Caenorhabditis elegans: one gene and its partner. The protein of the gene in region 1 purifies or fractionates together with the protein of each later gene. This does not show direct contact. Each region holds a gene or a part of one and is shown on either strand. Other genes may lie near its edges. The genes, in order: C25E10.8 and txdc-17.

Region 1 (3,380 bases):
TCACGTAAAATAGCGTAGTCTTTCATTTTCCAGAATGTGCCTGGAAAAAACGCTGCTGTAAAAGAATCGTGATTTTTGAATTAAAAAGTTTTAAGCGTCTACGACATTTTCTAACCTAGACATTACAAAAGAATGATTGATCTTTTTTTGAATAATTTCCTTGCTTAAGTTTCTTATTTGTTTTTTGTGTGTATGTTCCTATATTAAGAAACCAAGTAGGGGATGAGCTCAGCTCTGCCACACGGTTAAATTTTTTAACGCATTTTTTAACGAATTTTTTTTCCAAAAAAATATATGATGCCAACATTTAAACTGTCTGTTTTTGTCGCTTTTGGAATGTTTATGAAACAACAATTGCCAATCCTAAAAAAAGTTTTGTGTGTAGCATCGAACCTATAAGACCAAATGAAATTCAATACTCTAGTGAGGTAATCTGTACCCAAAAACGAAAACTTTGTGTACTCCGATCGGACACAGTTTTCCATCGGAATGATATCACGATCACGGCATTGTTTGTGTTTTGTTCCAAAAAAGAAATATAAATTCGTTTCCATTTTTCCAGTTCATGGTAACCGAATGTTATTCTATTTGGCAATTTGTTGGTTTTTCTCAGAATATGAAATTCAACGATTTATTATCACAAATGTGAATACAAAATGTTCACTTTGGGCACTCCTTGAGTTCGGTGCATCTGTAACCGTTTCGGACAAAACCACTGGAACACTGGCAAACATTTACAATGCATTGTCTGGTACATGGTCTTGGTCCTGGTTTTTCACAAGTTGGCTCACAAGCGGTTCCGCATCGGAAGAATGTCTCATTTTCCGGACATTTGCTAGTTTCCTTGGTACAGGTGGAAATATCGACACATTTTCCAAGTGAATTACGCACAAATCCTTTCTTGCAGTCGCATGCGTTTTCAATACATTGAGCAGATAGACACACTTTCTGAAAATTAAATATTATAGGAGAACATGGAAAATTATAGATTACTGGAGTGTATCCGCATTGTGTCTCACAGTGATCATGGCATGCAACCATTTCCTCGTTGGCTCCACATGTCTCTGAAAAGTAAAATGTTTATTTTCCAGAAATATTTAACAATAATCATTTAAAAATAAACTTACTATTGGCAGCTGTCGCAGCAGCAATAAAACAGGCAATTATGACAAAAGTTCTCTAAAAACTCATTAGTTTTTGCATTGCTCTAATGAAAAAAAGAACGAACCATCACAGAAAGAAAAGTAATGCAGCAGTCTGATGTTTTCTTTTGAAATGACTCTATTTATTGTTCGAGAACACTAAATCACGCAGAGGACTCTAGTCTATCAAAACCGCCCTTTTGTTTGCCAGAGACATAGACATTGAAAAAAAACGATGACCAATAAATCCAAAAGATCAAACAGAGTTTTTTTTAGTTTTTCATGCCAGGAAAAATAATACTGATGTAACAATTGTGTTATCAATAATAGCACACAACTCCAGTTTCCTTCATCACACTTCTTTTTGAATTTTTTCCAATATTTGATGGTTTATTGAACTTGGAAATGTTTACTCAAAAACAAATTATTTTGGACAATCTTTCTTATCAATGCATCTGAGTCCATGACGAACGAAACCTTTGGAGCATTGGCAGACATTGACGATACATTGTTTAGTGCAAACTGTTGGATTTGGTTTCTCACAAGTTGCTTCACAAGCTGTTCCACAGCCAAAGAATGTCTCATTTTCTGGGCATTTTGTAGTTTCCTTGGTGCATTCAGATACTTCGACGCATTTTCCAAGAGAATTACGAACAAATCCGTCTTTACAGTCACATGTGTTCATGATACATTGCTCCGTGCAAGCTTTCTAAATTTTGAAACTTTCAGTAATGGGAGACACATTAAGTTAATTGTTACAGGGGTATATCCACATTGTGGTTCACATGTATTATGGCACGATACCAGCTCCTCATTGGCTTCACATGTTTCTAAAAAAATATTTATGATCTGGTAACCGTTCAAGTACCAAATCACATATATTTACTTACTTGTGGCGGTAGCAACAGCAACGATGCATGTGATTATGACAAGTATCCTCTGTAAGTGTATAATTTTTATATTAGAAAAAAAACTCAAAAACTCACCATTTTCACAATAACGAAGGGCAACCAACCGATGTTTTGCTTTTTAACGGCTCTATTTATTGTGCCGGAACACTAAAAAACGGCAGAACCGCCCTTTTTTTCGGAAGGGATGATACGAGAAACATGATAAGATCGAATGGGAGATATTATAGGTCTTCTCAATCTTTTGGAGAGAAATTTATCTTTCACCGGTCACGTATTTATTTTGTAAATTGGGCTCACAACAAAGGTTTAAAAATCTCGAAGAATTTGTATTCGAAAATTCAGAAAAAATCAGAAACACATTAAATCGAGAACCTTACGAAATTTCATTCCGACCAATGATTTTAATGAATCAATTCACTAGAAGATATCAATTTAAAACGTATCGCTTGGTGCAAATAGTTTTGGCTTGGCTCACTGGAGAGTATTTCGAATGTGTTTCATCCATAATTACCAACTTAACATTGTTTGGTTAACACTGACTTTTTGTATTCATTGTATTGCAACACGGAATAGTTCATAAGTTTTTTGGCTATTGAAAAGGAATACAAATATTATGTTAAAATTCGAATATTGTTATTTTTAAATTTTCTGAAAACATTAGCATGAAAACATCAATATTAAAATATGAGAAAAACAACTTTTTTTTTAATCATCGAAAATATTATTCAGTGGTATGTTGTGCAACACATACGTCCACAATTTGGCATGGTTTCTCCTCACAAGTCAGCTCCACAAGTTCACATTTTTCGTTCTCAGAGCATTCAAGAGTGCATTTGCCTGAATGAAAAATTTATGACTAGTATTATGTGCAGGTTTTCAGCGAATAATCACTGATGGTTAAATTGGTTAAAGTCTAGTAATAAATTTTGAAGCTTACTGCATTTATTTTTCTCCACACATTTTCCAGTTGCCGAGTCTCTGACGAGTCCTTTCTTACACTGGCAGACGTTTGTCATACACACCAAATCACATTCCTGAGAAACAATTTATGATCATACATAATCTCAACGTTGATTTACTGGATTCTCGTTATCACATGTCGGTTCACACGCTGAGCCACACGCCTTGAGCTCTTCATCGCCCTCACATTCCGGTTTGCGGATTGCTGGAAGTTTCCAAGAACCACTGGATATTTTTGGTTTCACTACACTTACGGATTGGCACGCACTTTGGATCAACTGAACAATCGTCTTCAGAACCACATTCCAAGTCACTGACTGGCAGTTCGCATCTGAAAAAATATTTTAAAATTTATAATTGGAAATAT
Region 2 (4,165 bases), on another chromosome or scaffold:
GCAAAAATTCGCGATTTTTGACATAATTTTATCCCAAAAATTGTAATTTTAAGTCAATTTCAGCCTCCGGAATGCGTTTCGACCTTCGTAAAACCACAACCACCCAGCGATATAGAACGGATCAGGTTCACGTTGAATGGAGAGATTAATCGGTGCCTACCTACCTGCCTGCCTACAGGCGTAGGCAGGCATTTCTTCTGCTTCACGTTGTTTTTTTTTTCGTTAATTTTATTGATTTTTCTCCACTTTTCTTGTTGTTGTTGTTGTGCCGCGTGGCTGTTCTCATTTCTTTAAAATTTTACGTTTTTTTTTTCTCGAAATTTTGAAAATAGTTATCCCCCGTCCAATTTTCAATCATTTCTTTATTATTTTCTCCTGTTCTTCACACGTTTTTTGCACAAAAAGGAACGGGAAACAAAATGGTCGACGGATGTGCTGAGGTATGGCTTTTTTTTTACCGAAACCAACCTACCAGGCCCTAACTATCTGCCTGCAGGTACGCCGAACCAATAGGCGTTGGTCGCCTTGCAGGTGGGCAAATGTGATGTGATTGTTTTTTTTTAAATGTGATTTTATACCAACTTTCTAGTAGGCACGCTTGTAGGCGCCAGGTAGGCAACGATTTTTTCGTTTTTTTTTCCAAGTAAAAGTTAAGAAATACTAATTGATTTAATGGTAGGCACGCGAGTAGGCAGCCATTTTTCGCCAATTTTCCGTTTTTTTTTCGTATTTTCAAAAGCAAAAGGTTTAGGCATAAGGCAGGCGTAGGTAAAAACCCCCCGAAACCTCTTTTTTTTTGCAGAAATTCGAGCAAATGAGTTCATGGATTGTGCTGATTTCAATTGTTCCAATAACATTCAGCTTTATAACTGTCATTCTTTTGTGCTCATCTCTTCTAAAAGTGAAGAAAATGCGTGGAATTTGTGATGGAATCCATTCGAATGCTCATTGGTTGTCTAGAACTGCTGTTCGTGTTGGAATTGGAGCAACTGCCCGTGTTACAATCAATGAATATGCATCGACGAAGCCTGAGCTCAAGAGATTGCTTAAATAGATTACCTTGTTTTGAATGGAATAAATTATTGGGGATTTTTGAATTTTTTTATTAATTTTTTTTGTTGCTTTTTATCGGTTTTTGAAATTCCGAAGATTTTATTTACTTTATTATTTTTTTCTCTAAAATTTTCTAGAAAAAAAATTGAAATTTGATTTTTTAATTTTTTTTCGAAAATATGAATTTTGCCGCAAATTAATTCTAAATTTCGCAAAATTTTTCAGTGTTTCTAGAAATTTCTTATCGAAAAATTGAGAAAAAAAAACTATAAACTATTGAAAATATTTATTACGGGAACTCAAAATTTTGAGAATGCGTATTTCACAACATATTTGACGCGCAAAATATAACTATATCTCGTAGCGAAAACTACAGTAATCCTTTAAATGACTACTGTAGCTCGGTTGTGTCAATTTACGGGAACTCGATAAATAAATGATTCAACTCATTTAACAGAATCGAGATCCCGTAAATCGACACAACCGCGCGCTACAGTAGTCATTTAAAGGATTACTGTAGTTTTCGCTACGAGATATTTTGCGCGTCAAATATGTTGTGAAATACGCATTCTCAAAATTTTGAGTTCCCGTAATAAATATTTTCAATATTTTATAGTTTTTTTTTCTCAATTTTTCGATAAGAAATTCCTAAAAACACTGAAAATTTTGGGAAAATTAAAATTTTTCTTTCCAATTTTCAGAAAAAAATTTTAAAATTTGAATTTTGGAATATGGCTCAAAAATTTTGTGCAAAAGTGCAGAAAAAAAAATAAAATCCTATCATTTTTCGGGTTTTTTAAAGGATTTTCATGTCTCTTCCGAATATTTTTTTGTTGAAAATTTGTGGTAAATTTGAAAATTTCATGAATTTTTTCTCCAGATGACCGGACTGAAACACTACACTGCTCAGGGATACGAAGCATTTCAGGAGACACTGAAATCGATTGGAAAAGGAAAACGAGTCGTCGCTCTGTTCACTGGATCCAAAATTCTGACAACCGGAGAGTCTTGGTGCCCGGATTGTGTTGTTGGTACGAGATTTTGATGGCCTACCTACCTGCCTACCTACCCGCCTAGCTCATCCCCTGCGTACCTATCTGCTAACAGCCTCTGCCGCTTCTGTGCTTACCTACTCACCTATCTACAGTCTACATGCCTACCTACGGTGTGCCTGCCTTTGCCTACCGCATACCTATGCCTACCTACTGCTCACCTCACGCCTGCCTATAAATTAAAAAAATAATATATTTGAATTTCAGCTGAGCCAGTTGTCGAAGAAGTGATCAAGGACGCCGCCGTCGCCGGACTCGATGTCCATTTTGTCACTGTTTTCGTCGGAAATCGTGAAGTGTTCGTGGATTTTTGTAAAAAAAAATCGATAAAATTACGAAAAATCAATATTTTTTGGAAAAAATCAATAAAATTACGAAAAATCAATAAAATTATTAAAAAATCAAAAAATTATAAAAAATCAATAAAATTATAAAAATCAAATTTTTTTTGGAAAAAGTCGATAACATTACGAAAAATCAATTTTTTGAAAAAAAAAATCAATAAAAATATAAAAAATCAATAAAATTATAAAAAATCAATAAAATTATAAAAAATCAATGAAATTATAAAAAATCAATGAAATTATAAAAAATCAATTATTTTTAAATCAATAAAATTACGACAAATCATTTTTTTTTTTGGAAAAATTCATTTTTTTATAATTTTATTGATTTTTTCCAAAAAAAATCAATTTTTTTTAGAAAAAATCAATAAAATTATAAAAAATAAATTTTTTTAAAGAAAAAATCAATAAAATTATAAAAAATCAATTGTTTTTTAAAGAAACATCAATAAAATTATTTAAAAAAACCAATTTTTTAAAGAAAAAATCAATAAAATCATAAAAAAAATCAATTTTTTCTGGAAAAAATCAATAAAATTATAAAAAATCAATGAAATTATAAAAAATCAATTTTTTTTAAAAGAAAAAATCAATAAAATTATGAAAAATCTATAAAATTACGAAAAATCTATAAAATTATAAAAAATCAATTTTTTTGAAAAAAAAATCAATGAAATTACGAAATACTGTGTCAAAATTTTGAAAAATTCTCAAAGAAAAAATTTTCGGAAAAAATTATTTTGAAAAAAATTGCAAAAAATCTCTAAATTTCCAAATTTTCAGATGGCGTGACCCAGCTGTCGGATTCCGTACTGATCCAACACTCAAATTGACATGTATTCCGACACTTTTGGAAGTTGGAAACAAGGCAAAACGTCTTTTGGAGAGACAAATTGCCAATAAGCATCTCGTCAAGGACTTTTTCACTGAGGAAGACTAAATTATCGATTTTTTGGCTATTTATTGTGCTGAAAATTCCGCCATTTTGTTGTGATATTTAGACGATTTTTTGAATTGGGGTTATGGTTTTTGTTATTTAAAAAAAAAATTTTGTTCAGTTTATATAAAGGATTTGGTGATGGATTTTTTGATTTTTTGATTTTTTTTCAAAAAGAGGATGTGCCCTATTTTATGCTTAATTTTTTTTAATTGATTTTTGATTTTTTTTTGAATTAAAAAAAAGGAAAAATCGATATTTTGAATAAATTTTCTGAAAAATCAATACTAAATTCGAATTTCGATTTTCAAATAAAATTCGATTTTGTTTCGCACAAAAGTTAATAATTTAGTCATAGAAAATCGATAATTTTCATGAAATTTTTGAATAAAAATCAATATTTTATCGATTTTTTTCCAGAAGAAAATCGATAAACTGCAAAAAAAATATTTACGATTTCGACGACATTTTAAAAATAGAAAAAATTTCAGCATCCAATACCCCAATTAGATTTATATTCCAGATGACGTCATCACCAGAAATTTATCACGAAAAGCAACGTCTTCAATACTGCCTTATCCATACGGTTAACAATATTCTACAAAAATCCGAATTTGATCCGACAAAAATGGACGAAATTTGCTATGCGTTTAATGAGAGTAAATGGTTTAATCCACATAGGTACGCCGAAAAATTGATAATTTCCGGAAAAATCGATAATTTCCGGAAAAATCGATTATTTCTGGAAAAATCGATAATTTCCGGAAAAATCGATAATT

What was found.
Region 2: the proteins of C25E10.8 (region 1) and txdc-17 fractionate together in Caenorhabditis elegans (co-fractionation; one large-scale study listed by BioGRID). This does not show direct contact.

Annotation. Positions count from the first base shown.
Region 1 is NC_003283.11:9,052,702-9,056,081, forward strand, and holds C25E10.8 (TIL domain-containing protein), read right to left. Parts: upstream 1,369-3,380; 5' UTR 1,232-1,368; coding exon 1,229-1,231; intron 1,180-1,228; coding exon 1,128-1,179; intron 1,065-1,127; coding exon 994-1,064; intron 949-993; coding exon 661-948; 3' UTR 561-660; downstream 1-560. Other genes in the region: Serine protease inhibitor swm-1, read right to left, coding at 1,567-1,851, 1,902-1,972, 2,033-2,081, 2,129-2,131; C25E10.10 (TIL domain-containing protein), read right to left, coding at 2,775-2,890, 2,991-3,087, 3,133-3,218, 3,268-3,344.
Region 2 is NC_003281.10:2,832,730-2,836,894, forward strand, and holds txdc-17 (Thioredoxin domain-containing protein 17), read left to right. Parts: upstream 1-1,933; coding exon 1,934-2,084; intron 2,085-2,312; coding exon 2,313-2,403; intron 2,404-3,232; coding exon 3,233-3,389; 3' UTR 3,390-3,532; downstream 3,533-4,165. Other genes in the region: Y71H2AM.1 (N(6)-L-threonylcarbamoyladenine synthase), read left to right, coding at 64-149; Y71H2AM.29 (G_PROTEIN_RECEP_F1_2 domain-containing protein), read left to right, coding at 420-440, 803-1,054; josd-1 (ubiquitinyl hydrolase 1), read left to right, coding at 3,910-4,067.